Linked DNA regions of Lepisosteus oculatus. The protein of the gene in region 1 purifies or fractionates together with the protein of each later gene. This does not show direct contact. Links are inferred from orthologs where the notes say so. Each region holds a gene or a part of one and is shown in the gene's direction. Other genes may lie near its edges. The genes, in order: cdk8, med8, med31 and med4.

Region 1 (7,733 bases):
CCATATAAACGGCCGACCCTGCGCTCCAATCCTGAGCTTCTCTCTCCCTGTCTGTGTGTCTCAAGGAGAGCAAGCTGGGGTCTGCGAAAAGACGAACTCCTAATGCAAGAAACTGTATCGGGCCAGTGAAGCGACCTCATCTGATCTCCCAGCAAGCGCAGCCTCAAACCCCCGCCCAGCAGGGGGCAGTGTCACCGGGCCAGGCAGGGGGACCCGCGTACCTGGCGTGCCCAGGAGGTTGCTGTCCCTCATGAGGCGGTACTCGTCCTCGCTCAGCCCGTCGATGAACTGGTAGTACGCCTCCTCGCGGCGCAGCCTCTCCTCCTGCCGCCGCCGCTCGTCCCGCCCGCCGGGCGCCGCAGGGCTGGGAGGGTCCATCGCCACGGAAACCGCTCCGGCTGCCTGAAGGAGGAGGGGGGGGGAGTTTACCGGGAGAACACACTCCGTGAGGCTGGCGAGCGAAACAAACAGCAGGGTTTCGGGGCTTTCCTCTGCACTATTAACTTTTAACTTTGCATCCATTCGTTCAAATTCATTCGAAACCTGGAACCCGAGAACATCATATCCGGCCCGCAGACGGCCTGTCCACAGTCTCCCGCTGCACGTATATAATGAGAAAACCGTTATCACTGCCGCACAACATTTTGACAAAAGCAGTAATGGGGGGAAATAAATCCACAAAGCACCGCATGAGGAAAACCTCAAATTGCCTGGCATCTGTCAGAAAGCAATAGTCTGGCGACATGAAACATGACAGCAGTGTCAGCAGTCAGCAGCGTACAGGCTCTGAATACCCTGTGGGCCTGAAGAATCGAAACCGGGAGTCCTGTACCTCCAGGACTGCAACATGACACAGCTCAAGCCCTTGGTGCACTCTGTGGGCAGAAAGCAGGTGGGGCTGGCTGCTCAAATTGGACAAAAACTCCTAGCAAAACAATATGCAGAGTATTGTGCAGATTTCAGTTTTCAGTACAGCTGCTGTGAGGGCTATAAGCTGTAAGCTGTCAGACTCTCGCTATGTTTGGATCCACTGGAAATATTACTGACTGTACTTGTGTTGCTTTTATGATTCATTACAACTTACACCTTTAAAATGACGTTTGCTTCATCTGAATCCTTATGCCCGTTTATGCACTACGAGGAAACAACCTTGAAATAACCAAGAAAAAGTGCTGTCTCCAGTAGCATAAACTGGGAGTGTATCTGTTAGGATAACAAAAACACAGTCCATTCACACGGGGCTGTTCATGTCTCAGTCACTATCCAGAAACGTCTATCCCAATGAAAAATGACCGTATCAACCACTGAGACCAGAATATAATTCCTTATCACATATACCATCTTAAACTCCAACAAAGTTTCACTGCGGAGCTGTTGGTACACAGAAATAAACATCTGTTAGGCATGATCTCTGCATTTGTCTAAAAGGCTCTGCGACGAAAATATGTTTTTTTATCTCCCCAGCAGAGCCAGCAAATGGAAGGAACAGTCTAAAAAAATTTTCAATTAAAAACAACCTGGTGCAGAAAGCTGCTTTCTCATTTTTTTAAGAGTACACGGAAGATACGTGCTCTCCGTAGCAACGCGCGATTAGGCGCCCACTCTAAAATTTAAGGTTAAACAAAAATAGAAGCCAAACACAGTATCATGAAGTGAAATGTAAAATCAGTGCATAAAATGGTTTATACAGAGCGAAGATGGGCCTTCGTAAAAAATACACTAACCCTAGATACAAATACTACAAGCCTTACAGGGCTCCCTACCAATCAGTGGGCCCAGACCCGTATATTGACAGACGAAACGCCCAAACAGCTGAGCGGGGAGGCGGGACAAACAGAAAACAAAAAAAAAATGAGAGTCGGGCCCCGGATATTTCATCGCGAAGAAGACACAAAAGACAGCGTCGGTCTCCCGAAATCCCCGCAAAATACGCCTCGGATTCCCTTTGAAAAAAACCCCAGCCCCGCCGCCGGTGCTGTTCTGTCTTGCGGACGTGCGTGTCCATGCAAACAAACGCGTAACCTATACAGTGAGATTGCGTTGCCTCACCACCGCCGTGTAGACCGTTTCAGTGCTCGCGATACACAAAATGGCACCGCAAAGAGAGCAGACGCTCCGTCCAGGGAAGACGGCACACGTACAAGGAGAACCGCTGCCGTGACAAGACAGCTCGGGCACACTTCAGTACCTGAAACCCTCAGCTGAAATATGGACGGGTCCTCTTCCCTTCCCCTGCTGTCCGGGATACAGTGTAAGATGGGAACACCAGTGCAGCACCCAATACAGTCCTACCTGCAACAAGCGACGAGATACATTGCACCCCCCCCTCCAGGAGACATGTACAGTACACTAGGCTTTCTTTTTTAGACTCACGTTTTGTACATATGTTCCTTTAACGCCTCAATTAAAATCGTGTCATGGATTTAAAAGTAAACCTTTCGATTTATCTCCATACTCTTGAATACCAGTGTCGCCCCCTCCCCCCCCTTCTGTTCTAGTCTGTTCTTTGTGTGTCCAGACTGTGAGTAACTCTTGTATTGTATTGTATGTATTGTACTATTATTATATTATTTGTTACACTGTGGCTGTGTTGTCTGTGTTAAGCTTTATTTATTGTTGTAGTCTTCTTATTTATTGTTATTGTCATCCTGTAAAGCGCTTTGAGAAGCCACCTTTAAAGGCGCTATATAAAATAAAGTTTATTTTTATTATTATTATTATTATTATAAGCTGCTGTTGCACTGCAATTTCCCTCACGGGATCAATAAAGTATCTATCTATGTAGCGTATTCCCTATTGGAACACGATACTGCACCGTTTTCCGATTCGCACAGCATTTACTGGTAAATACCATGGCGGAATCTGCAAGTCATACAAAAGACACCTGAAGAAGGCCCCACGGCCGAAACGTTGTGTTTTCTTTCTTCTCTTTTCAGCATGGAATACGCGCATTACCTGTTCCTTTCTATTCGTATAACATCCATCCATCCATTTTCTAACCCCTTTTAACAGTACAGGGTCACAAGTGAGCTGGGGTCAAGGTGGGATACACACTGCATGGGACCGCAGTCCGTCACAGAGCACACCGACACTCCAGGGCCGATCTTCCCAGAAGCCAACTAGCCCACCAGCGTGTCTTTGGACCGTGGGAGAACATACACACTCCATGCAGACAGCACCCCAGGGATTGAACCCTGGACCCCTGCGCTGCGATGCTAACCAGTTCCTGCAGATGGTGCGTTTTTTTTCCCCCCACCCAGTTAAAAGCCTGTATCAAACTTCTGTGGGAAATGTCCTTGTGACCCAGCGTCTTTTCCTGGAGAAACAGCCACAAGTGGCAAATCATGTCAGTGCATCATTTGTGTTTTCCATTTTGTACCTTGTGTTTTAAGGTTAGTTTGCCCTGCTCCATTCTAGGCCTGGAATGTATTGATGTTTGCATACTTGAAAGTACAGATGCCTCTTGTATGTGTACCACGGCCATTGATGTTTAAGTGTAGTATAATAATGGAGGTCCAACAAAGAGTCCTTAATTTATATACCCCCCTCCATCCAAAATTGCTTTACAGACAGGAGGGGTCTCCCCTTAGTCACCACTGAAGGGCAGCTTGTGTGACCGAGCATGTGGCCATTCTGGACCAGGAACCCCACTGCACAGCAGATCGGCGAGGCGGAGGAGGACTGAGAAACCGCTTCTTCAGTTGAACTGAAGGGGGAAGTTAAGGTTAAATCCAGGAATTTAGCCTCGATTACCGATTTAAAGACCTTACTCTTCAGAAGAGCAACATGGGATCTTTAAACTTTATTATACAGCGAAGTTCTTCGCTCCTTGCACGACTTTCACGCAAGACACGCAGGGCAACCACTATCGTGACTTGGGCGCGTCTCCAATACTCCAGGACCCCGACGACACCCTTAAATGTCTCACACACCAGTGCCACACACGCCCCGCGAGAGCTGGGGGAAAAGACATCTGGCAGAGCATCTGGTGACAACTGGCAGAACTGGGGAAAAAAAGAAGTCTCATGTCTGTAAACGACTGTCCTCGCAATCGTCTATAACTGGATATTAACATGAGATTCGACCTTTTTTTCTTACTGAACGTTGCCGGAACAAAACCTGATGCTCTTCACGTCTAGCATGGTCACTCAAGCGAAATTCCAGTAGAGGGAGCTCTAGAGTTTCGGAGCTCATCTTTGTACATATATATACACTGCAATATCTGTTTACAAAACGGCCAATCTCCTTTTTTTGTTTGTTTTTGTTGCTCTGACGTTAAAATATACCCCCCCCAAAAAATAAAAATTTAGGTTTCGTGACGTTCAGTCTAAACCCAGTCTGGTTACTTCACAACTGTGGAAAAAGACAGCCCAAAAAACAAAAGAAACCCGAAGAGTTGGCTTAGCGCGTGTTTTTTAAACGCCCGGCGCGATAACGTGATTTACGAAGGTCGGAAAACACACGTTTCCTCTGCCGCTGGTCCACGCAGCGGAGCTCCTCTTGACAACAGCGACGGTTTCGCTGCGGAAGGGCCGGGGGGTTAAAATCCACGTGGTGCGCCGCACAGAAGCGCACGTCTCCCTTTCCAGACGGTCCTTTATTTTAAAGCCTGGCTTGGCGACGCTTTGCGACATTGCCGTGCGCTGATGCCCAGCTCCTGCGAGCAGATACCGGCAGAGAGGCGCAGCTGCAGAAAGCGAGAGAGAGAGAGAGAGAGGGAAGCAAGCAGAAGCGGTGTCGGTGTCGGTGTCGGTGCAGCAGGAGCCCAGACGCTGCAGAAAATCGTGCATCTCTCCGCCACACGCACAGCCGGTACATGCCGCATCTCGGCCCGGCGAGGGGGCAGCGCTAGGGGGGGGGGGGAAGATCGATAGATACGTAGAGCCCAGGTGCGAAGAGAGGGGCTGCTTCCCAGGCGGCGCTTGGGGGAAAAAAAAGGCGAGGAAAATGGACTATGATTTCAAAGTGAAGCTGACTGGGGAGAGAGAGCGAGTCGAGGACCTGTTTGAATACGAGGGCTGCAAAGTTGGAAGGGGCACTTACGGACATGTGTACAAGGCGAAGAGGAAAGATGGGTGAGTCGGCAGGCCTGCCGGGCTGGCCCCGGGTGAAAATAAAGCGCACACTTTCTTCGCGGCTCTTTGGTTCATTTTAGTTGTGTTGCTGTTGTTGGTGGTGGTGGTGGTGTTGCCTCTATTGTTTGAGATCCCAGAGACGGTGGTGTTGTTGTTGTTGTTGTTGTTGTCGTCCTGCTGGATAACGCAACCCGAATAGAAAAGAGACATGCTCAGTAACACAGTACCAGCTCCATGAGATGTGGCTGTTTTTGTCTCTTTAACTGGAGAGGGACAAAGCTGCCCGGACTGTCACACCAAACCCCCCCCAGTCCGTGCCAACCAAAGATAACTGGATAGGTGCCGTGTGCTGCTGTTTTTGCTAAATCGTTGCTCTTCTTAACTGGTGTTACGAATTTGCACCGCCTGGCTGTTGCACTGTTTTCTGATTAGAACTACAGTGGCGGCGTCCCCCGTAATAGACCGAGCCCGTTTGCAGAAAACGTCCTGAAAAAATACATTGTCGAGGAGGTGTTTACGTTGTAAATCCTCAGCTTGGGATGGTGGGATTCGGGAAACCGATTTGCCGAAGAGCGACGTTCCCATATCAGAGTAACCTCTCGTTTATGGGGGGGAGGGGGGGTGAATTTCAGGTTTTCTTTCCTCTTCCGAGTCTCCACGACGATGGTGTTATTCACTTTTATTCGCCCCCCTTTTGCAATAAACGCGAACACGAGGCACTTGCAAACAAACCGACATTTCTCGGAGGGTTCTGCGTTTGTCGGAGCTGTGTCTTCCTGCGGACAGCTCTGCGCGTCGAAGTCTGCGGTCACTGCTTTAAATCGCTCGCATCAACCCGAATAGCAACTCGCAAGAGATGCTCCATACATCTTGAGGGGCGGTTCAGTTTTTTTTTTTTAATATATATATAGCAGTTACATGAGACGAAGAAGAAGTTCCGCTTGCCCCTGGAGCTCAAGGTGAAGGACATCCTTCAGCTGCCTGGAGAGACGTGAAAGCTGACCCCGGGTTGCTGTCCTTTTCAACAGGAATTTATTAATAGTCCCAAGAGTGCACAGGTGCTTCTCTGCCACTGGCTGTATCGGTGTGAGCGTCCTTCTTTCTCTGAGTGCACACGTGACACACGCACTGTGTGTGAGCAATGGAGGGCACGCGGTAGCCACCACTCCTGTGTTTTGGCACCTTAGAAAAGAGTTTGAACTGCGGTTCTGGACTTGCCTGTCCACAGACAGAAGCCAGGCTTGGTCCCAGTATCTCTTGGGGGCACAATACACGGCTCTCCTCCCCAACAAGTCAGGGTCACTGCCAGGCAAGATGGGGGGGGACCACAGGCAGGGGGGATGAGTTTAATGTCCTGTCCTCAATTAAGAAGAAGGGACCAAAACAAAAACTGCATTTAAGTTGGCGGATGGAAGGGGTCATTCATCCCCCTCTCGAGTGAAGCCGCGCCGCTAATGAGCAGTGACATCCAGCCTGGTGTTGATGCGTGTCAGCTCTGACTGTCGGGACAGAAGGCACTCGAATATGGGTCATCTCCTGCAGTTGTCCGCCCCGAACTCCCAGCACCAAAACGCAGGGGAATCTTACAGTGTGGAGCGGCGGGCAGGGCTCTGGACTCCTCACTGGAAGCTGTGGGTCCACCACTCTCATGCGGGTTCACATCTCGGGTGGGACAGTGCTGTTGTACCTTTCCACGAGATGCTTCAGTCACATGCCCTGCTTCGTGTGTGTCTACTGATTAAACCCCTTTGGATAAAAGCCCTGGCTGACTCGGTTGATGGCACGTCTCTGTGTGTGCATCAGCTCTTTGTGGCAGAAGAGCTGTGTTACACCCCCCCAAGCAGGAAAGGGTGTGTGTGTGTGTGTGTGTGTGTGTGTGTGTGTGTGTGGTGCAAAAGTGGTTGTTGGACCAGCGGTTGGACAGCCTGTCTCTTTTCGCTGGGTGTGTGCTGTTGAGATTTTATGATGTATCTGAGCCTCCTCTTGACAGCACAGTGCCAAACCCTGCTGGTCTGCAGACACTATAACGAGAACGCGCCGCACTGCGGCGATCCCTTAAACGAGAAGGGTCCTTCTCAGTTCCTGGGGGTTTTCCTGCTTGAGAAAGTGTTGCTGTTGCCGTCTCTGAAAGAGGCCTGCAGAAACGAGCGCGATGTCACTTTCTTTTTTGCGAGCTGACCAGATTGCGGCAGCGGGAGTTTTAATAAAAGAAACACGCCTCGCAATCCAATTGATCAACACGCTCTTTTACAAGTGACCCTCCCAGAAAAAGATGCTGCTTTTAGGTCTTTGTCTCTGTGAGCCACGTGCTGTGAGACGCGGCCCAGACTGCCCGAGGTGTTGTGTTCATGATGCCGGTGCTGTTAGTTGGTTTATTCGTAGTTCCAGTGCCTCCGCAGAGTCCAGACGCGTCTGAAGCTGCAGGGCTGAGATGGTCTGTCCTGCAAAAGTCCAGCCACAGCACGAGCAGCTGCTTTCAGCAGCTCTGTGGAGCCACCCCGGGCTGCTCAGTGGAAGAACACGAGGAGACTCTCGCGCAATGCGCAGCATGTCAGCTGCTCGCTGTGGTTAGCCTCAGCAGCCAGATATCTCACACCTTCTCCATGTCCATTAAAGGCCTTTTGCATGGGAGAATCCCTGTCCCAGAAGTGCTAGCAC
Region 2 (7,829 bases), on another chromosome or scaffold:
AGCCCCACGTCGGCAGTCACCATGGAAACGCCCAGCTTCCTGTGGGGCTGGTCTTCCATCATGTCATTCAAGACCCCAGAGGACAAAACCACCCCATCGGACTAAAAAAAAAAAAAAAAAAAACAAGATTAAAGAGCATAAGAGACTTTTAACAAAAAAAATCAAAGATTTCGTTAGCAGCAGTGGTACTGGGAAGGGAGATATCCAAGGAAAACCAGGTTGCTAGTGTAGGTGGTGTTGGTGTATCAGTAGGTGACACTAGTTCTGTCGAACCACCTAATTTCGTAATGTTCCTGCTTTAGGCAAGTTTTCAGAAATTTGAGAAATGCTCAAACTGGGCCCTCCGTGGGCGTGCTCTTCAGGCCAAGCTAGGGTTATGGTTGAGGAAAACCGTTACAGTTTGACTTCTTTCATCACTGTGGTGGAGATTTAAATGATGAAATTATCCATGAAGTCTTCTAACTGCTTCATCCAATGCAGGGTTAAGAAAATAAAATGAGCTATTATTCTCCCAGGATTTTTCTGGCTGGGGGAATCTGGAACAAGCTACCTACCCATGTTGCTGAGCGTGATACCTTGCCTTCTCCCACGATATGGCTGGATGAGATCCTCACAACACTTTACTAGTGGAAACCGAATGGGACGGATGGACAGAATGGCCTCCCGCCGTTTGTAACCTTTCTGACGTTCCGATGGTTTGGAAGGTCGGGATTGAAGTCACTCACCTGCCCCCTCGCTTGTTGGTGCTGCTGTTGGAGGACCTCCGCAATGTTATTCTCCACAGCCCGCAGCTGCTGGTAAACCTGCTGTAGGAACTGGTCCGAGTCGGCCCGGTCCAGCTGGCAGCCCTGAACGAGTACCTACGGAGAAGGGGAAGAGCATCCTTAGCCGAGAAGGCTTGGAAAACGCATCTGAACAGGCACGGCACAATGGCACCATGTGGCTTTTATTATAAACACTTAAGAATCAAGTCAAAACAGCTGGCTGCGTCACTGTTTTCCTCCTGAATGCCTGATCAATACCTTGCATCTTCTTTCCTAATGTCTACACCTGTCAGTCACGCCTGTTTGAGTGTATATTACCAAGGCTCCCCGCCACAGACAGCTCCGTTATCAAACACTTCTCTTCACAAGAGACTAAGGTGTCAGAGATGACCTGGTGAGACTTGAGTCCGATGATGGAGGAGTAGGCCAGGATGGTGATGAAGATCTCTGGCTGGAACACCAAATCAGTTCCCGGGACTTTGAAGGGTCTTGCGAGTCCGGCCAGACACCTAGTGAGAGCGTGGAACACCTCGTCGAAAATCATCTCGCCCGTGCAGTCGTCCTGCCAAACGACACGCAACACGTCGATCAATCAGGCCAACTTCCCTGGAGCCCACCGAGATCCCAAAAGCGAAAGACCCTCAGCACACGGCCAAGGCCACAAGACAAATAACTTGACGAGCATGAAGCCACCAGGCGTTCGATCAGAGAACAAAGAAAAACAACTAAATATACAAAGTATTACTGTCAAAAACTGAGCAATTTTTTCTATGTCTAAAGTAAAGAACCCGACATGATTTCCAAGAAGTTCAGATTTCGTGTGGCAGAAAGACAAGCCCAGACAAAGAACCAGTCAAGTCAAATTGCCGGAGCTGTCCTTACACCATGAGCTTCTCTGTATTTGATCAGTCAGTGACTGGTGTCCAGGCCAGGATACAGCTCCGCCCTGTGACCTGTATGTGCTGGGTAAGGCGCTGGCTCACATGAGCCTCTTGGGATTCACCATCCTACCCTTGAAGACCCACAAACCTACCGGATTTTGCTCCAGAACAGATCCCAGTGAGACAACTACACTCTTAATCGACTTAACAGGATTGATTTGAGCTGTTGGACTGTGTTCAGCTCTAAAACATTTGCAAGTTCCCCCCCCCCCCCCGCCCCCCCAAAGTCCTCCACATCTCCCAGAATTCATTTTACTATAGTGATTACCGCAGATGCGGTGGGTTAACTTCCGGATCTAGGAGAGTCTAGCTTCATTTTTTTTCTTCAGGACAGTATTACCATTTTCTCTTATACATGTTTAAGAGTGTCATTTAATTATTGCATTTCATGAGTAAAATAAATTCCCAATTTTCGAGAGGAAAAAAAAACAGAAACGTTCCAACCAAGCAGCCGGTTAGCCTGATTAATTAGTTAAGTAATTAAGCTGGGTTGGAATGAAAACCAGGAGGTGTGGGGGTGTCCAGAACCAGGACTGAGGATCCCAGCTCTACAGGATGAAACAGCTGTGGATGAGAGACAGACAGAAGTCTGTTTAGGGGCTCTTCTGCATTCCCAAGCTGCAAGCGCTTTGCCACTAGGTGGGAGTAAAAGCCAACGGCCCAGGAGTAAGGAAACTGAATTTCTCCAGGAAGGTGACCGAGCACAGGCGACGGAGGACACTCTTACCACGATCCCCGTGGACGGGCTCAGGTCCAGCTCGATGATGAAGCGGTACCGCCGGGCCAGGAAGGTGACCCGGGTGGACGGCACCAGTAGGTACGGCACAGTGGATGGAGGGTCACCAGTCTGCCAGCCCTTTGGTAGGATGCTCAGGACATCCAGCTCATTCTCCGAGCTTAACTGGTGCACAGAAAACCAGCGGGACTTCAGTTACTGGGCACAACAGCAAGGACTGAACTTGTTCCCCGCAAGCACGCAGCGTAGGTCCAAGCACGTCAGTCCACCCCTTAATTCCAGACCGCTCCTTCCCGAGGCGACAGGAGTCCAGCCCCCGGTACGCCACAGCAAGCACACATCACCAGCACAACTCTAGAGCCGAACCGGTCGGCTTCGAGAGGATACAACGTTTAAAAGCGAAACATGCGGGCAGGGGCGTGAGCGGGCCCACTCACCAGCTCGGCCCCCGGGTCGGGCTGGACCACCTGGTTGAGTCGGCTCAGGAACCAGGCAAGCCGCACGTTTCGGGAGATGCGGTGCTCCTCCTTCATGAGCAAGTACACCTGGCCGGCCTCCTCCACCTGGCGAAGGAACAGGGAGCTCAGAGCGTCGCTCACCGGCCCGGGTCGTTTCACCCATCAGGGCGCCGCAGGGGGCGGCCGGCCGGCAGCGTCTGCACCGCGCGCCCTGGCAGCGCCTCCTCTCGAAACCCCCAAAGAAGAGCGAGAGGCGTCTGCACCTGCCACACCCTGAAAGTCAACACTGGCTGGGAAAATGCTTGCAGCCACGATTTTGAAACCACGAACAAGATCGCAGCCTGCAGTCGTAAAGAATAACATTCCCAGGAGGGACTCGGCTGCTATCAAGACCCCGGCTGCATTTTCTTTTTTATGGACCACACTGACCACAACAGGATCTCAAACGGGCTCGCAGGCAGGCTGGCCAGCAAGGTGAAGCCGTTCTGAATATAGCTCCATGACACATGGGTGCCTTGGCGATGAAGGGTTCTGATAAAGGGCAAGACTGGGCAACGTCACGGCTTTTATGGCCTGGAGTGATGAAGTAAATTGTCGTTTTTTTGTTGATTCACAGCTACATGTGGGTAGGTGGCAGAAAGAGTACTGGGTGCCATGCTGGCATGAATTCCATCAACAGTATGGTGGTCTCATCCGTGGGAGACATCCTGTTACAATTTAAACCCGTCAACACTACGCACACTGGTTAGGGAGAATACACATTGCTACATACTGTGCATTTGCCAACACTACCCCCGTCAGTGCATTAGCGTGGCTGCTTCTGAAAACCTTCTCGTCTGACAGAAAGCACTACCGACAGCTTGCAAACCACGGACGTGCTTTACGGTATCTAGTGGTTATGATATTCACTGTAACAAGGAAATACGCGACGACAAGGAGGCTAAGGACACTTAAGAAATGTGAATCGGCGAAGGAGTGAAACACCTGCTACAGCAATCCCAATTATTACCTGAAAAAAACTACAATTACAAGCTGCAAGCTGCAAGCTGAACACCTCGGGGGTAGTCGTGTGTCGTTAGACTAAAATAAAAACGTTCAGTTATCAGTCATGCTCCTACGAAACACAAAAAGCCAATCGATGCACAGAAACTCGAACAGCCATTTGGACTTTGCTAGTCGCTAGTTATAGCAGTACCACCAGCACTCCAGCCTGACACAACCGTTACGGAGAAATTACGCATCTTCCACAAAATGCACGGAGCTTTGAGTCATTTAAGACATTGCCTCTTAGCCAGTCCTTCTATAGCCATAGTAACACGCCCAGCTTCCCTCATGCGTTTATTTTACTTGTCATCCTATTGCGAACTGGTCTGATCTTCTTTCTGCGGACACCCCGATAACGTGGGGACAGTGTCTACTCGCCTCGGTGTCCTGTTCCTCTGCCATCCCGGGTCTCGCATCCCCAGGGGTGTCAGCGTGGAGCTGTGGCGGCGAAGACTCCTTGTTTATTTCGCTACAATTTTCTGTTTATTTGGCACAGGCTGCACCGCGACCCGGAACTGCTTTCCGCTCTGACCCTGCAACGGGATTAAACCAAACCCATCCGGAAATATTTAAAACAGCTCATCTGTTGTCGAATTGTTGCAGAACTCTGTGGTGTTTGTTTTAAAAAAAGAGGGCATTACGAGCATTTACCAGCAGAATATCTGGCAGACAAAAGATGCGCCACTGGCTAGCAACGCCTGTCGTCTCTGCTTAATATTTATTAGTATCTTCTGGTCACGATCAAACTTTTGAATTTTCTTGCTTCAGGTAAAATGTTAGATTCCTAAAAACGAACTGTCACAGAACAACCGTTTTCATAGATGCTAAAATAAAGAGCCGTTGAAAGTAATAAACTGACCCCCGGTGACACATGACTATTCTAAGTGTGTGGCAAGTCTTTCCGAGGTCCTCCACATATCCCAGAATTCCCTTCGCCTCTTTTGAATGACCATAGACACGGGAGGATAACTTCCGGATCTCAGTTTGTTCAGTTTCGGTTTTTATTTTGGATAAACAATACGATGCAGGTGAGTACTAGCCAGCTGGTTTTATTTATTTTTTAAATCATATTGGAGTAGATTAACGTGTTGGGTAACCAAACTGTGTGCATTTTGAAATCGAAATGCTGTCTTATGGTCAGATTGGGATATGCTAACCAGTCGGTTCTAGGTTCATTCTAGTATGTAACCGCTGTTCTTGAACAAGACGAATTCTTAAAGTTAAGAAAAAAATATTAACTCGTAAAAACAACAAAAACGCAGACCGCAGCTTCGTATTTCGTTACCTTAGGTAGTTCTGAGCTCATATTAAGTTCTCAGCGTTTTCGACTAGAGCCTCCCAACAAAGTCTGTGCTCAAGTGTAGCTAAAGTCACCCTTTCGATAATATAGCCATCCGAAAAATGACTCGGGGAATCTTACGAGCTTTGTTTCACCGGGTGGTGTTTTCTCCCCATCCGTGTGCAGCAGCGGGAAGAGAAACAGTTGGAGGCGTCTATCGACGCCTTGATAACTCGAGTGGCCCACCTGAAAAACTCCCTGCACAGCTTCATCTTCAAGCTGGAGAACGAGTACGAAAGACTGGCATGGTGAGGGCTGGGTGCTTGCAGGTGTTTTACCACTTTCCCGAGAAAGGAAACTTGAAAACATTTTTTTTATTATTATTCTAGATCTTTTGCTTAATATCGTCTAGAATAACTCTCGCAAGACCGAGAAATCTTGTGAAGGGTACTGTAACACAATGTCAGACAGACTAATGTGTGGCTGATGAGCTTTGTAATCTTTGTCTTTAACTTTGTGTTAATGATAATTGATTTTAAACTTGTAGACAACACCAGAGAATAGTAGTTGCATACTTCTTTGGGTAATGTTTGTACTTTTGGTTCGCCAGATTCCAAGACTTACATTTCTAAGGTCTTCCATAACCACTTTCCTCAGGATATTGCAGTTAGGTCTAATTAAATAAAATATAGACATGTAAGTAGTAACTATTTTTAATGAGGTATTTATTATTGTTGGATGAGGAGAGAAGGAGCAGATGTGACCCAGGGCCAGGCCCACTACAGGAACAGTAGTATTGTGACTGTCAGAGCTGGTCATTTTTAGACAAGTTTTAGGTAATTAAGTACAGTTGATATTAATTTTTATTGTTGGGTTGTAGTTTTAATTCCTTGCTTTTTACTCCCAGATCTTTGATAGAAGCACCATAATTAATATTGTATGTTGTTCTTTGTTTTTTAGGCCTTCAGTGCTGGATAACTTTGCCCTCTTGTCTGGCCAGCTTAACACCATCAATAAGCTGTTGAAAAATGAGAAGACACCTGTCCTGCGCAGCCAGGTCATCATCCCTCTACTTCTGTCCCCAGACCGGGACGAAGAGCTGGCTGTGAGTCGCAGTTCAGTTCGCTCCTTTGCCATGGCTTTTCTCTTCTCAGAACGTGCCTCGCTTTGTGCCGCTGTTGTCAGCGAAGCACACAAAGCAAGGAGACGATCACCAACATGTCATTTAAAACCCTGATTTCTTCTCGATGGCCTGCTCAAAGCCAGCCCACTGTCAATTTTACCGTTGCCCCTAGAAACTGACGGAGCAGCGCGTGCCCGTGTTCAGCCATGAGATTGTTCCGGACCACCTGCGCACCAAGCCAGACCCGGAGGTTGAGGAGCAGGAGAAGCAGCTGAACGCTGAGGCAGTCCGCATCGGCCCCGAGTTGGCACAGGTGAGTGTCTGAATGCCTCAGGTGCCCACCCTCTAGGGCAGGCTCTGCCGGTGAGCTCCAGGTGTCCTATGGGTGTTCTACCACCGTCGGACTGTTCAAGAACCTTGATGTCTTATTGAGCATGCAGGGCGATGACAGCTCTTTATCTCTAATAATCATGAACAGGTGTTGTTCTGATGAGAGTAAAAAAAACAAACGTCTGACAATCTCCGCGTGCCCTCCGTTTGAAGCCTGGCTTTCCCATCTTGTGCAGAAACAGATACAGACGCTGAACAAGCTGTGCTCGAACCTACTGGAGAAGCTCAACAACCCTCGGGAGGACCGCGAGTCCGAGAGCGCAGGTATCTCGCCAAACTGTTGTCCGCTCCAGAACCCGCAGGAGGCTTTGAATGGAGCAGCCTGTAAAAATAAAAACACTTTGTGAGTCACGGCGTCGTTTCTTGGCAGCTTTGCGGCAGAACAAGCAGACGTTCAACCCCACGGACACAACGGCCCTGGTAGCGGCCGTGGGGTTCGGGAAGGGGCTGGCGAAATGCAGACCCCCTGGGTCCGGGGGCCTGGTCCCCCCGGGGCAGCCTGGGACCGGAGCCATGCTTCAGGGAGGGCCGACCCTGCAGCAGGTCACCATGCCTGGCACTTCCAACCCACAAGCGGCTATCGGCGGCCCCGTTCCCCAGCAGCAGCAGGGCCAGCCAGGTAAGAGCCTCACCTGCCACCTGCAGGACAGGTGCGATGGGCAGGAGTCACGCAGGTCGCAGCATGGCACAAAGGAAGAGTGGGACACCTCTTGTTGTTTTGACGAATACGACGTGATGAGAACAGTCATCCTGAATGATACTGACCTGAGCTTAACCATCTCCTGCAGTCAGCAGTGTCCCAAGTGCATCCGCAGCCCTTTTGTGCGTATGGAGCAGCTTCTTTCATGGAACGTGACTGTCTCCCTGTTATAAAGATTTTCTCTCCGTTATAGATCCTTAAATAAAAATCGGAATGAGAAGTCACGAGGGCTGAGAGGCCTCTTCTCCCCTGTAGCTTGCTTCTGTTTTTTTTAAATTCCCGTGAGCTAAGGGTGTGAATGGCAGTAACTGATCTGACTAGTATTGCTTTTAGTCTGTCAGATAAAAGTGGATTAGCTATAACTGCGGTATTGTGAATTTCAGAGGGACTGCTT
Region 3 (7,061 bases), on another chromosome or scaffold:
CCCACCACCCCAAGAGCAGTTGCAAATAAATGACAAAAGAACTTTGTATGAGAAAAACAACCCCGGGCAGAGCTGACAGGAGAGACTCTGAGGAAGAGGCGGGGGGTCTGTCCTTGCACAGGCGGAACGGGCCCAGGACAGAGCGCTCAGTGGCTCTCTCCCTGCGGATGCAGCCAACTGAATACATGGGTCCACGTGTAAGATGCTTTGGATAAAGGCATCAGCGAAAGAAATGAATAACGGTACGAAAAAAATGCAAATATGAATAATACAAGCATTCTCCCGTCACATCTTGTTCCCATCCGGTTTTAGAGTTCTTGGGTGCTCAATCACACAGCTGTCCCTCTGTCCCATCTCCAGCCCCCCAGTCCGGAGGGCTGCGGCGGGGGAGGTGGCGGCAGGTATCAGCCTGTTCGCTCCTACAGCAGCACTTTCTCTCCTGCACGTCAGACCCACACACACACCTCCTGTTGATTTCAGCACTTTGCGGGGAAAATTACAGAGGTGGAAACGCGGAGAGACCGTTCCGGGCCGCGTCTTTCCCAGAGACACCGAACCCTTCCCAGGCACAGGGATCCCCACGAGAATGAACCCCGTCTGTTCTCGAGCCGTCAGCAGATCCCCGACCAGACAGAGCAGGTGGGATCTCCCATTTTTTACATTTACAGTCACCCCCCAGCGATACAGTTCACAATACTGGAGCCACAGGGAGGGGAAATAGGGGAGGGGAGAGAGAGAGGGAATATATCGGAAATTCCTTTTGAAGCAAAACAAAGGCGAGGGTGTAATTAGCGTGTGGTTTTTGCACCCAATTAAACAACCGTGCTGCATACTCCTCGTGCGTCGTCTTCACTAGCCCGCGCACAGCAGACATGTTGTCATGCAATCACCCGAGTGGCGTGTGGACAGTGGCACCTACGGCACCTTCTCCGCGGCGAACCCATTGGCTTCGGGGCTGAACTACAAGGCCCCCCAGCACAGCGCATCATTAGTCACACAGCACCTCCAATCCGCCCCGACAAACAATTTTACTGCAGTAAAGCTCTTTAATTACATAATTGAAAATCGACAGGATCTATATACCATTTAAGAAGCTGGCTGGATCACCTGGGGGAGACACGGATTAGATAACTTCACATTAAAGGGCTGACTCCTCATATTAAACAATGATAGAAGGCTATGACGTATTGCAGTAGACGGTCTGTGGGATAGTTTTATATCCTGGAAGACTTCCTAATTCTCGCCCCACTCAATCCAGCCTTCGCGCGAGTGCAGTGCTCCCCCTGGCGGACAGCACGGATAAACACGTTCAAATTAGGGTTGAGTTCAAACTTCCCCTAATTGCGGTTTCTTTAGCCCAGAAAAAAAGATTACTGGCGGGGGTGGCCTATTCTACCCATCTAATTTTGTCTAAAGTACTTTTGAACAATGATAATATCGCTTGGAATGAAAAGGCGACGCAGACAAGCCGGAGTCTAGTACCCAGACGACCCGACAGGTTGGTTTGAACGGTCATTTTCTCTTGTTCAGAATTTAATTGCAGTTAAAATCAAGTTTCCCATATACAAAAAACACCATCCTCTTCTTAAATAAAGCATCAGAAATCACATCGAAACTTGCAAAGAAATGTAAAACATATTACATAGATATTGTTTTTTGCTTTTATGTTGGTTTTCTACTGATTTGGTAGTCACATGTTTGAGATTATTGACAAAAACAGGGTCCGCTGTTACTACCGCTGAAGACGGTCAGAATTTTCGCAGGAGGCGAAATCTGTTGTGATTCAGATCAATCTCTTGCCGTAAGGGAAACTTGCGTCACACGGGCGCAGCCATGACAGGCTTGTCATTACGGCACAACTCCAGGGCGCGTTTCTTGTTCTCTACCCGAATTCCTGCAGCGTCGCTCCGTATTGGCGTGAGGGAGGAGAAATGGGTGGGGTTTAGTCAGACGGTCGTCTGTGATTGGATACAGCCCGAGGATGGACAGGTGACGGAGAGCGAGGCTGGTGTCCTGATAAGGAATCTGTGCCAAACTTCCTCAATCCTCCCGAACATCCTTCTGGAATGAAAATATAAACCGGAAATTAGACTGGACAACTCCTGACGCATATTGCCTTACAAACAAGGTTTAAAAAATTACATTTAATCTTGTTCATAGGCTTTATCTTGTAACACTTTCTAAGGTCATACATGATCAAGATAATTTATGACGTGTGTTCGGTTGGAAAAGGCTGGAAAAGACATTCTGACACATTTATTTGTCATCCGCATATATACAAAGGTGTTTTGGATATACTTGCAAAACTTCATCTTTAAGAATTTCACCGTGAATGTTTAATTTAAGGAGTTTGGTATTATGGCATGATTTGCCAGATGTACTCTGGAAAAAGGAACATTTTCTTATAAATAATCTGTTAGTTATACTGGGTAGATACGCAAAACACAATAGTCCAGTTCTGTTCCCTACTTTAATGATTCTAAGATTGAACTGCAACATTACTTAAAATCCATTAGCAACCTTACAAATAACAAGGCAAAAAACGCCGATTCGATTATGTAAAGTTTTAATTTATTGTGTTCAGTTTTGTAATTACCTACGGATCGCAGTGTTTTTTTGTGTGTGTGTTTTGTTTTGTTCAGTTGTCTCTTTGTATTATTTTATGATCAATAAAAGTTTGGAAATAAAAGAGACCAACTCTCAGGAAGACTGGAAGTATCGTTAAGGATACTCCCCCACTTTCCTCTGGTAAGGGTTATAAAGCATGAATGCACTAACTTCCAGACCCAGAGACAGTTTCTTCCCGTAAACTATGAGATTACTAAACTCTGCCCCTACCACTGACTCACACTGGTGTGTGTTTTCACACTGCGTGTACTGACTAGTATTTACCTTGTGTGTTATTTAACCTTGTGGCTGGTGCTTCTACTGTTATGTGTATCTTTCGGCGTTTCCTTAATGTCTCTGCATTGGAGCATACATGCAAACATTGCACTCGTGCAGATGACCAAATAAACTGAACGGAACTGATCCACGCCACCTGTTGTGAGTGCGGACGAACTACCCCTGACGATGTTTTTGTCTTGAATTGTTATATGTACGCTTGCTTTTATTGTAATTTTTCTTATTGTTTATGCATGAATAAATAAAAAACTGCCGAACTCCACTCACTATACTGAGCTATCACACACGTAGAGCTGCAACTGGGTAACATAACAACTGTACGACATCAAATGGTGATTTTCTTATGTACAAAAATCCCAACAAAGGCAAAATCAAGTATTAATGGATAACGTGCTCAGTTTTAGGTGGCTTTTTAGTGATTAACCTATAAATGATTGTGATTTGTGCAATTTGTGTTATAAAGCTGGATTCTTCAGTCTGCATGAACGTGCACTGCGTGTGCAGAGTGCATCTTGTACTGTACAGCTTAGAAGTGCATTCTAAACCCGAGAGCAGGAGGCCCTCCTTTGCACAAAAAGGTGTTGGAGTCGGGAACAAGCTACACAACCACGGAGTTGAAGACGATACGGTTTTGTTTTTTCGAGAAACACCTGGATGAGATGAGATCCTTAGATCGATTTACAACTAACAGTAGATAGGACGAACGGTCTCCTCTTTAATACTCTTGTGCATTGCCGGCGCAGACTATTGCTTACGAATGTTACAATTTATTTTTAATTTCAAATATCAAATAAATTGTAACAAAAGAACACCGAACAGCTGGATGTGCCTGTTGATTTCTACATCTTAAAGATTCATTTTATTTGTATCTTAAAGCACAGCAAGAGAGTGCAGTGATCTCGGAGTCTGATGGAACTGAATTCTCCCACCCAGGTTCAGATATAGAGGTTGTGCTGGACACACCCACTCTCCAGCAAAACAAACCACTCAGTGTTAAAGGAACTCCAAAGCCACGCTGCTTCCCAAGTTCTGCTAATTGGGAGACGGGTCCTACGAAATCACACCCAAGATTGTCTATGCAACTGAGGGGAAAGGAATGGGGCGTGTTGCTACAGGAACTGGGGTAGGAAAAACACACTGCCGGGAGGGCGTCGCGTTGTTAGACGTCATACACGAGTTCCGGCCAAGATGGCGGATGTGCTGTGTTACGCTAAACGAAGTAGTTCATTTGAGTATTAAAACTATTCCCTCTCGACTACAAAGATTTGTTTTACAGGTTACACTGCTAAAGGCTGGGTTTGTATCTCTGAGGAGTAGCGCTTTCTCATTGAACACGAGAGTCCGCTGACTGCTATGGCGACGGCGATGGAGACAGGTTCGTACGGGTCTGTTTACTTGCGCCAGCTGAAAGTAGTGCGGTCGGGGGTATTGATTTATCTGTTGTTGTGAAAGTGGAGTGCACATCTCGTCTTTATTTGTATGCAATTTATGTCTGATATACTAAAAGGGCGTACGTCAGCGCGTTGAGGTGGATGGGGAGTGCTTCAGTATTGAATCCGTGGTTCCTGTCCCTTGGCGTGTTTGTAATGCTGTCTCTTCTTCGCCGACAGAGGAGCAGGCGAGAAACCGATTCCAGTCGGAGCTGGAGTTCGTGCAGTGTCTCGCTAACCCCAACTACCTGAACTGTGAGTCGCTCTTTCACCCTCTTAATAATAATAATAATTCCTTACGCTTATATAGCACTTTTCTGGACACTCCACTCAAACCAATTACAGGCAATGGGGATCCCCTCCACCACCACCAGCGTGCAGCCCCACCTGGATGGTGCACCAGTCCTCTCCCCACACACCAGCTCTCAGTGGGGAGGAGAGCAGAGTGATGAAGCCAGTTCAGAGATGGGGGTTATTTGGAGGCCATGACTAGTAAAGACCAGGCTGAAATTTGACCAGGACACCCCTACACATTTTAGATAGATACTTTATTGTACTCTATCTGTCAGCAGCCATATCACCCTGCAACTCACAACTGGCAGCCCACTGAAGCTAAGCAAGTGTGAGGCTGGGAATTTCTGGGAAATTGCAGAAATTTTAAAGAAAAGATTTTAAATTTTTAAAGAAAAGGGATTTCTGGGATTTTTAATGACCACAGGGAGTCAGGACCTTGGTTTTACGTCTCATCCGAAGGACGGCGCCTGTTTACAGTATAGTGTCCCTGTCGCTATACTGGGGCATTAGGACTCACACAGACCGCAGGGTGAGCGCCCCCTGCTGGCCCCACGAACACCTCGTCCAGCAGCAACCTTAGTTTTTCCCAGGAGGTCTCCCATCCAGGTACTGGCCAGGCTCACACCTGCTGAGCTCCAGTGGGGTGACAGCTGGGAGCTTCAGGGTTATTTGGCTTAAATATCATCTTAAACCTGGACTGAGCCCTGGGGGTCTGAAAAATAAACCACGGCAGCTTCTGCTCTTCTGCCTGTCTCTCATTTGCTGCAATGGAGTAACTGTTTTTAATTAGTGCTCAATTTAAACTTGCGGTACGTTATTAATTAAAATATGACCACGGACCTGGGTTCCGAGATGGAGGTCTGGGTTCTGTTCCACCCGAGCTCTCGGCTGCACAGCGGGTCTGATTCACCTCTCAACATTAACGCTTGTCTCTAGCCCAAGAGGGGTTTTATAGATAACTTTTCCTTTAGTGCATTTGAGTCATTGACAGTAAAAGAAAATAGGAACCGCGCGAGAAGGCAGTGTGATCTGACGGCTCTGTCTTGTGGTCCCAGTCCTGGCTCAGAGAGGCTACCTGCGAGAGAAGCCCTTTGTGAACTACCTGAAGTACCTGCTGTACTGGAAGGACCCGGAATACGCCAAGTACCTGAAGTGAGTGTCTGTGTCTGGCTGTGTTCAGAGGCTGTTTGGTCTCTCAACTCTATTACAAAGGAACAAGTAATAGGTTTATTCCATGCTGAAAAGGGAAGAAAGAAAACACAACGTTTCGGCTGTGGAGCCTTCTTGGCTGACACCCGAAGAAGGCTCCACAGCCGAAACGTTGTGTTTTCTTTCTTCTCAATTCAGCATGGAATAAACCTATTACTTGTTCCTTGGCAGCCTACGCATGCTGGGACCGCAGTCTCTGCATGACCAGGCTGTCTGTATTCTGTACTTGTCAGTCTGTGCCCCTCCCTCTCAGATCGGTTGATCAGATTATCCTCAGTGTAGTTACAGATCTGGCTCAGAATCTGCCCCTTAGTAAGGCAGAGTTAACACTTTAAAGTATTCTAACAGCCTGGAAGACATGAGAAATTCCAGTGCAATACTGTGGGAAGAGCAGTGGGATATTGTAGATCCTTCCTTCAGAGTTCTGGTGTTACCCACAGGTATAAACCCCAGGCCCTTCCTGTAGTCTTCGGTTAGAGTTCATTGTGTTTTCATTTTGAGGAGATCATTATTAAGTATGGGCTTGTGAAAGCAAAAGTATGGCTAGATTCTAAGTCTGTAAGTTATGGCTTTAAAATATTGTGATCTGATTGTTAAACCACTGTCTTGTGAACATGTTTAATTCTTAAGGAATAATGACATTCAAACCGAAAATACATTCTGCATGGGGATGTGAAAAAGTCAGGCACAAAGAGAGGCGCAGTCTGGCGGGCCGAGGCCCAGCCCCCTGCCTGTGGGTGATGGAAGTCAGGGGGGAAACGAACCGAAGGGCAGCTGCAGAGGTGGAGATGGGGTGGAGGAGGGATGCTAAAAGAGAAGCAGGGAAGTAATGGGCTTGCTGGGGTTTTCGGGACACAAGGAATACAAGTTAGGGCAGCAGAGATGAAGGGGGATCTGAGGGCTGTCCCTCCTCCTGAACGCTCGTTAAAAGCTGCCTTAGTGCCCCTGTGTGTGACCGTGCCCCTGTCTCCCGCTCCCTGCCCAGGTACCCCCAGAGCCTGCACATGCTGGAGCTGCTGCAGTACGAGCACTTCCGCAAGGAGCTGGTGAACGCTCAGTGCGCCAAGTTCATCGACGAGCAGCAGCTCCTGCACTGGCAGCACTACTCCCGCAAGCGCACGCGGCTGCAGCAGGCCCTGGCGGAGCAGCAGCAGCACGGCCACGCCGCGGCCAAGTGAGGCCCGCGGGCGGGGGGGGGGCCCTTGAACTGAGGAGACTCCGGGC
Region 4 (7,083 bases), on another chromosome or scaffold:
TAGAACAAAACAAAAAATAGAAGTAAAATAAAATCTACAGACATGTTACAGACATTTACAACAAAGACATATTATATAATATCGACATATACTGTAGGCGGCTGGAGCATTATTGGGAGACGGACTCACTGTTCCTCAGGCTGTGACAGGAGATCACATACTGGGCTGCCAGATCAACTGAGTTCCCTCCTCCCTCTCCCAGTAGGATTGGGACCTGTTGTGGTTTTGGCAGGTGTGGGAACTCTGGGATTAGATTTCTGAATTTCGGGAAGAATGTTTCTCTAATCCCAGAGTATCTGTCACAGTGCAGTAGGAAGTGCACCTCTGTCTCTATTTCTCCCTGCTGGCAGTGGGAGCACAGCCTGTCCTCTCTGGGCAGCCAGGTCTGCCTGTGTCGCCCAGTTTCTATGGCCAGGTTGTGGTCACTGAGCCTGTACTTCGTCAGGGTCTGTTTCTGTTTGTTATTTTTTATTTTGGTCAAATATTCAGCTAGTGTGTATTGTCTGTTTAAGGTTCTGTAGCATTCCAGTTTATGTTGTGTTTGTGTGTGTGTGTCCCAGTGTGTGAGATATTGCTGTTTGATCTGTGCTGTGATGTGGTTGAGTCTGGGTTGTGGTGCTCTAGCAGTGCTGTCCTGAGGCTGGTTAGTGTTGGTGTGGCTCAGGTCGGTGAGCCTCAGGACCAGCTGGCTCAGGGGGCTCTGTTTTGGGCTCAGCTCTTGGCTCAGCAGGGCTTTGTGGTGGTAGGAATTTTGGTCACTGTTTTTTAGGTGTAGCCAATACTTTAATATTCTTTTCTGTATGTTTATCAATAGTGGGTACTGGCCTAATTCGGCCCTGCACCCGTTGTTAGGAGTTTTTCTCTGCACACGGAGGATGATTCTAGAGAGAGAGTTATCTCTCTCTCTCTCAATTCAATTCAATTTCAATTCAAGGTGCTTTATTAGCATGACCAATAGGTACAATCAGTGTTGCCAAAGCAAATAAAAATAATACAATAATAAAATCTCTCTCTCTCTGCGGGAATGAAGATAACCTCCAGGATCACGAAGCCGTTCTGGAGTCGGATGATCTGTGAATCGATTCAGCCTTTCCAGCAGCGACGATACGAGTTAGCAACCATAACGACAGAAACTAAAACCCACCCCCTTCTCTAATCAAAAGTGTTATCAATTTTAAAAAAAAATCACCATCATGAAGTCCGGGGGAATAAAAACTCGAGTTTTGAATCAAGTGCATTTATGAAGACGTGAAAACTGCTTGGAATTAAGTTAGACTTTGTACTATCAACGTTATTTTTTTCCCCAATGCAATTCCCTTGGCTACTTAAATACAAAACAGTTACTACTCTGTGAAAACTTTACCTTGCCTTGGATAAAGACGTTAGTAAACTAAAAATATGTATGTGTTTCGTCCTATATATGGGAAGACCTTTGTTTTTAGTAATTCAACATACGTTTCAGAACAGCTTTTAATCACCTCTCAAAGGTTTACAAATTAACAGCAACCCCGATTAATGAAGAACTGGTTTAGTTCTAGAGCGAAACAGTAAAAAAATCAATTGGAAGAAACACCGTAGATACGTCTGGTTTTCAAGGAGACAATTCAGATCGAGTCTTGCTCTCCCTGAAGTTAGGAATGGCGTTCTTCCTTGACTCGGGTCTGCCCTGTACTCCACGTCTTGCATCTTGTACACCAGTGACAACCAATTTCTTCCAAGAATGATTTATCTTTTATCACTGCGTCTGATTGATCTAATTTGAATGAGAGCTTTCTAAAAAGGTAAATATTTATAATCCATACTTACAAGAATGGCATATCACCCTACAACTCACAACTGGCAGCCTACTGAAGCTCAGCAGGTGTGAGCCTGGCCAGTACCTGGATGGGAGACTCCTGGGAGAAATTAAGGTTGCTGCTGGAAGAGGTGTTAGTGGGGCCAGCAGGGGGCGCTCACTCTGCGGTCCATGTGGGTCCTAATGCCCCAGTATAGTGACTGGGACACTATACAGTAAACAGGCGCCATCCTTCGGATGAGATGTAAAACCAAGGTCCTGACTTCCTGTGGTCATTAAAAATCCCAGGGTGTTTCTTGAAAAGAGTAGGGGTGTAACCCCGGCGTCCTGGCCAAATTTCCCATTGGCCCTTCCCAATCATAGCCTCCTAATAATCCCCCTCTCTGAACTGGCTTCATTACTCTGCTCTCCTCCCCACTGAGAGCTGATGTGTGGTGAGCGTTCTGGCGCACTATGGCTGCCGTCGCATCATCCAGGTGGGGATGCACATTGGCGGCGGTGGTGGAGGGGAGTCCCCATTACCTGTAAAGCACTTTGAGTGGAGTGTCCAGAAAAAGCACTATATAAGTGTAAGCAATTATTATTATTATTACAAGCATACAGACAGGACAAAGGTGAGAGATTAAATAGCACTGGCATTCGTCAACTATGGCTCTGAGATTTTCCTTCTGGTGTATTCTGCACTCATGTGTAATTGTGAAACTAGTGGAGTACCACAGGGATCTGCACTAGGATAATTACTCTTCCTATCCTATATGTATCTCAATGACCTACATTGTGGTGTAGCTAGTAAAACGGTTTGTAGTAAGGTTTGTTAGATGATATCAAATTAGGAAGATGAGCAAATCCTGTACAAGCACCTAAAAAAGAAAGAGATAAAATACAAGACCAGACAAACACCTGGCAGATGATGTTTAATGTTGGCAAGCGCAGAGTTTCTTCTGGCAAAATACCTAAGCTAAGAATACAAAATGGGAAACACAGAGAAAGAAGACACGGCATATTAAAAAGACTTACGAGTTTACGCTGACACCTCATTTATATCTTCTGTGATAAAGTAATTAAACATGTAAGCAAAATGTTAGAATAAATATTTATGATATTAAAATTAAAACAAGATGTGTTGTGTTGAATTTGCATGATGCACTAGTAAGCCTTAAATGGAATATTGTGTATAATTCTGCTCAGCACATTATATTAAGGTTGTGCTGCTCTGGCATCACTGCAGCCAGGAGCAGTCAGATACATCCCAGGGCTTCAGGGACTGTCATGCACTGACAGCCTGTTTAATCATGAACAGAGGAGACTACAATGGGACTTAATGCAAGTGTCCAGCATCCCCACAGACATCTTCAATATCTGATAAATCCAAATCCAATCCATCTAATGAATTGGTTTTCAACAAATTACTGTGGCAGAAAGAGAGCTCCTCACTGATGAGCTGTTTTCTTTGAAGCTTGGTCTTATAGTCAATGATCCAATGAAACCCCCCCAAAATTCTTGTGAGATTGGTGTGTGCAAGCAGTAGTCTACATCTGTTGTTGTGAATAAAGGGCCTGTTTTGTGCTCTTAAATGCCAAATTCTCTGATTCTCTGATTCTTTTTATTTCATTAAGAAAGATTCTGAATCTGGATTGCTCATTGGCTAGAGGGAGCTCTGTCCTAAAAGACATATTCAGAAGTGTTTCTGTGCCGGTCACTCATCTCCCTTGCTTGGTTATTTCCAAATGCCCAAGTAGTGCTCACTATACTTCAGCTATTGCCAATCCCTATGTATTGAGCCATAGTTTATATTTCTTATTATAAAAAAGCCTTGTCAGGAACAGGTTAATCACATTGAACACAGTGAAACGAGTCCTAGTTACGTGTGGTTTGTGGGGGACGTTGCAATCTATTGTAAATTAACCCCCTCCTGCACTAGTATTCTTGTATATTAATATGTATTTCATTATTGCCTCTAGAGACACGTATTTACTGTATGTGTACAAATAAGGTAAATGCGGGTAATACATACAGAGGATTTCCAGCCATAAACAAACCCTAGACCCAGCTTTTAAAAAACAAACAAACAAACAAACAAACAAACAAACAAACAAACAACAACACATAAAAAATGAAAAACAATCAGGTTTATCGTATTTAACCCCGGACGATGATCGACCCCTTGTTGTTCCCTGGTTATAAAGACATCTCTCCACTAGGTGTCACCACTGATTTTTAGTGACGACTTTTCTGTCTTGTCCGGTCTCTCTAGATTTGTTGTCTGTGTGAACATGCGCACTATGAAAGTTACTCTATCATGGCGGCTTCCGATAGATCAACTAAAGATCGGTTATTGTCTGTTTTAGACGATTTGGAGGTGTTATCCAGGTACGCTCGCTGAGAAATACAGTATTTACGCCAGAAAGACTTTACCCTGTGGACAGTAAAGTGGAACAGAAAAGGTCTGAAAGGATTTCGGGGACTCGGATGTTGGCCTGTGTAGGCTATCACAGAGCAACTGATTTTACCTGAGCTTCAATGCAGTTTGACAAACTAGACACTTTGCGTGTTAAAGGTTATGAAATGTTATATTTATTTGTCACGTTTTGTGGAAAAAAAACAACAAGAAGAAATTCTTATAAAAAGTGATATTTACATTTACTGTATAGTATCTGTATTTCTTTGTTAAGTTGCCTCGGTTATGTGCAATAGTTGTTACGATCTGCTTATGTTAACTGTATATATGAACTGCAGGGAACTGATTGAGATGCTGGCGTTGTCGAGGAATCAGAAACTGCCCCAGCCTGGAGAAGAGACTCAGGTATAACTACGTTTTCGTCTCGAGTAAACTCCTTTGGAAGGTGATCTTATTTTGTTTCAACAGCACATCATTCACTTTCAAACGAATTGTTGTAATAAAACAAAAAGCGTGCCTGCGTAAACAGCTTACATTTTAGGAGGAACAAATACTCGGATCCCTACCAATCACAGAGCCTGTCTCAGTGGAGCCGGGCTAACTTATTAAAAAACACATTTACACTACATTGAATATCTGTCAAATTATTCCAGTGGGTGGTTACACGCATATTCATAGGTTTATTCCATGCTGAAAAGAGAAGAGAGAAAACACATCTGTATGCTTGTTTAACGATGCTGACTGGTCCCTGCCGAGACCTTACAGACAGAGGTGCAGTTGTACCAAAATGGATGCATCCAGTACTTGTTTTCCATTATTTTAATTTTAGCCTAGGCTTTCTTCGAGCGAGGAGGACCTTAGGGAGCTGGTCCCTGACATACAAAAAGGTTTAGGAACAGGGATTTAAAATATACATGCTCCATGTGTGGACATAGACCCTCTTGGGGGGCCCACCTTGTTTCTGGGTAACGAGACGACTTTAGTCAAGCCGCTTCTGAGAAAGAACTGTTCGTCTCCCAGTGGAAATCCCGGCTCGGCAGTGGAGCGTGTTTAAGAGGGCGTGCTCTTGTGCAGATCCTGGAACTGCTGGTGCAGAGGGACACTGAGTTCCAGGAGCTGATGAGAGTGGCTCAGGAGCAAGGTCAGGTCCACCTGGAGATGCAGCTCCTGGAGAAAGAGGTGGAGAAGAGAGACAGCGATATCCAGCAGCTGCAGAAACAGCTGAAAGAAGCCGAGCACATACTGGTAAGCAGGGTGACTAAAACAGAGACATTTGTATTGCTATCGGACCCCTCTGCTAGGAATTTTGGCTTTGAACTGGTTTTCTTGCAATATGTATCTAGTCAACTGCTTCTTCATAGTCAAAAACAGTTTATTTAGATTACAGATATTTCTAATAGTAGCGCTGGGGCTGCATTTTTCTTTCCTCACTAATCTTGACAACAGTGCACTTGGTGAAATGTTGAGGTTTTGTTGTGAAGAAAAGTGAGAATGTAAAAACAAAGGAACAGGTAATGGGTTTTAATCCCTGCTGAAAAGAAAAGAAAAAAGAAAGGAAACAACGTTTTGGCTGTGGAGCCTTCTTCAGGTGTGAGAAAGACAGGGCAGACAGCAAAGATTAAATGGCACAGGAGAACAAAAGCTCGGAGAGGGGAGGAGGAGGCAGAGAGGCCACTCAGGAAGTGCAAAGCGGAGAGGGGTGAAGAGCTGCCTGAGAATAGAGAAGATTACACAAGAATAAGTCAGTCATTGAGAGAAGGGGAAGGTGTGAACCTAGTTTCAGGATGAGTTTCGTTTCTGTAGTCTTTCTGCTGTGGGAGTTGAGAAACCCTTCTTTGAGAAAAGAGACCGAGAGATCAGTGTGATCATGGCCGTCTGAGGCGAAATAATAAAAAAAACTATGGGCTTGGAGAAATCTTTCATCTTCACAGCCCTAACATGTTATCTGAAGCGGTCTCCTAGTCTCCTTCCGGTTTCCCCAACGTAGATAGCTGGGCCTTTTTTGCAGGAGATACAGTATAGGATGTTATCTGGGTGATCTGGAATTGACCTGAGGTGCCCTGAATGAGCGTGTTGTAGAAACAATGCCATTTTGGATAAAGTTTCCAAAAACTTCTGCAGGGAGTTTCTAGTATATAATAACACGGACTATGTAGTTGTAGTCAACTAGGTGTAGTCAAAGTATTCAAGTTTTTCCAGTCATGTGTTTAAAATAATATAGTAAGATTTATTCATTTATTCTTTCTTTTTAGGCAACTGCTGTATACCAAGCAAAGGAGAAACTGAAGTCCATAGAAAAAGCAAGAAAAGGTCAAGATTATTTTTATTTCAAAATATTGATAGGTCTTTCAGTAAGTTTCATTAATAATTTCTCAAGTTAATCAAGCATAGAAAAAATCATGAGCATGATGCACGTAAAAGAGCTGCTTTTCAAAAATGTTTCTTTTTTTTTTTTGCTGAAGATACTTTACATGGTCCTGTAGGTAAAGCACTGGTAGGAACAACCGTTCTGGGTCAGAATTTCCAAACCGATCCCTTCAAGTAGCCAGTGTGCGGATGGTACATACTGACGTAGAATGTGCTTTAATGGTGAATGTCTTTGTTTCAGGAAGCATCTCCTCCGAAGAAATTATTAAATATGCTCACAGGATCAGTGCCAGCAATGCAGTATGTGCTCCCCTCAACTGGGTGCCAGGTAAGGCTGGGTACTCTGGAGAACTTGGGTTTGGGGCTTCCCTTCCGACTGGAGCTGGGGACAGAGTCCCAGCAGTGCAGATTTTTAATTGCTTGACAGTCTGGCAAGTTAATTAATAATTAAAATTGGTTCAAAGTCCCATACAAATCTTAAATTTATGAAATCTCCAGTTTTGAAGAGGGCTGTTTTTACAGT

What was found.
Region 2: the proteins of cdk8 (region 1) and med8 purify together in Homo sapiens (affinity purification with mass spectrometry; 7 studies listed by BioGRID and IntAct, counting the BioPlex papers as one, with this or other methods). This does not show direct contact. The link is inferred for Lepisosteus oculatus from reciprocal best matches to the Homo sapiens genes CDK8 and MED8.
Region 3: the proteins of cdk8 (region 1) and med31 purify together in Homo sapiens (affinity purification with mass spectrometry; 7 studies listed by BioGRID and IntAct, with this or other methods). This does not show direct contact. The link is inferred for Lepisosteus oculatus from reciprocal best matches to the Homo sapiens genes CDK8 and MED31.
Region 4: the proteins of cdk8 (region 1) and med4 purify together in Homo sapiens (affinity purification with mass spectrometry; 9 studies listed by BioGRID and IntAct, counting the BioPlex papers as one, with this or other methods). This does not show direct contact. The link is inferred for Lepisosteus oculatus from reciprocal best matches to the Homo sapiens genes CDK8 and MED4.

What each region holds. Positions count from the first base shown.
Region 1 is NC_090700.1:5,395,451-5,403,183, forward strand, and holds the start of cdk8 (cyclin-dependent kinase 8), read left to right. Parts: upstream 1-4,721; 5' UTR 4,722-4,947; coding exon 4,948-5,075; intron 5,076-7,733. Other genes in the region: E3 ubiquitin-protein ligase RNF6, read right to left, coding at 222-402, 4,464-4,634.
Region 2 is NC_090704.1:2,359,223-2,367,051, reverse strand, and holds the start of med8 (mediator of RNA polymerase II transcription subunit 8), read left to right. Parts: upstream 1-4,828; 5' UTR 4,829-4,965; coding exon 4,966-4,971; intron 4,972-5,408; coding exon 5,409-5,530; intron 5,531-6,182; coding exon 6,183-6,327; intron 6,328-6,517; coding exon 6,518-6,658; intron 6,659-6,911; coding exon 6,912-6,999; intron 7,000-7,105; coding exon 7,106-7,354; intron 7,355-7,829. Other genes in the region: KICSTOR complex protein SZT2, read right to left, coding at 1-101, 726-860, 1,156-1,326, 2,433-2,606, 2,879-3,004, 4,322-4,345. UniProt on the Homo sapiens protein: Component of the Mediator complex, a coactivator involved in the regulated transcription of nearly all RNA polymerase II-dependent genes.
Region 3 is NC_090721.1:9,979,394-9,986,454, reverse strand, and holds the start of med31 (mediator of RNA polymerase II transcription subunit 31), read left to right. Parts: upstream 1-4,056; 5' UTR 4,057-4,257; coding exon 4,258-4,279; intron 4,280-4,514; coding exon 4,515-4,589; intron 4,590-5,683; coding exon 5,684-5,780; intron 5,781-6,822; coding exon 6,823-7,015; 3' UTR 7,016-7,061. UniProt on the Homo sapiens protein: Component of the Mediator complex, a coactivator involved in the regulated transcription of nearly all RNA polymerase II-dependent genes.
Region 4 is NC_090710.1:30,648,583-30,655,665, forward strand, and holds the start of med4 (mediator of RNA polymerase II transcription subunit 4), read left to right. Parts: upstream 1-4,069; 5' UTR 4,070-4,094; coding exon 4,095-4,165; intron 4,166-4,531; coding exon 4,532-4,598; intron 4,599-5,267; coding exon 5,268-5,438; intron 5,439-6,445; coding exon 6,446-6,503; intron 6,504-6,801; coding exon 6,802-6,888; intron 6,889-7,083. UniProt on the Homo sapiens protein: Component of the Mediator complex, a coactivator involved in the regulated transcription of nearly all RNA polymerase II-dependent genes.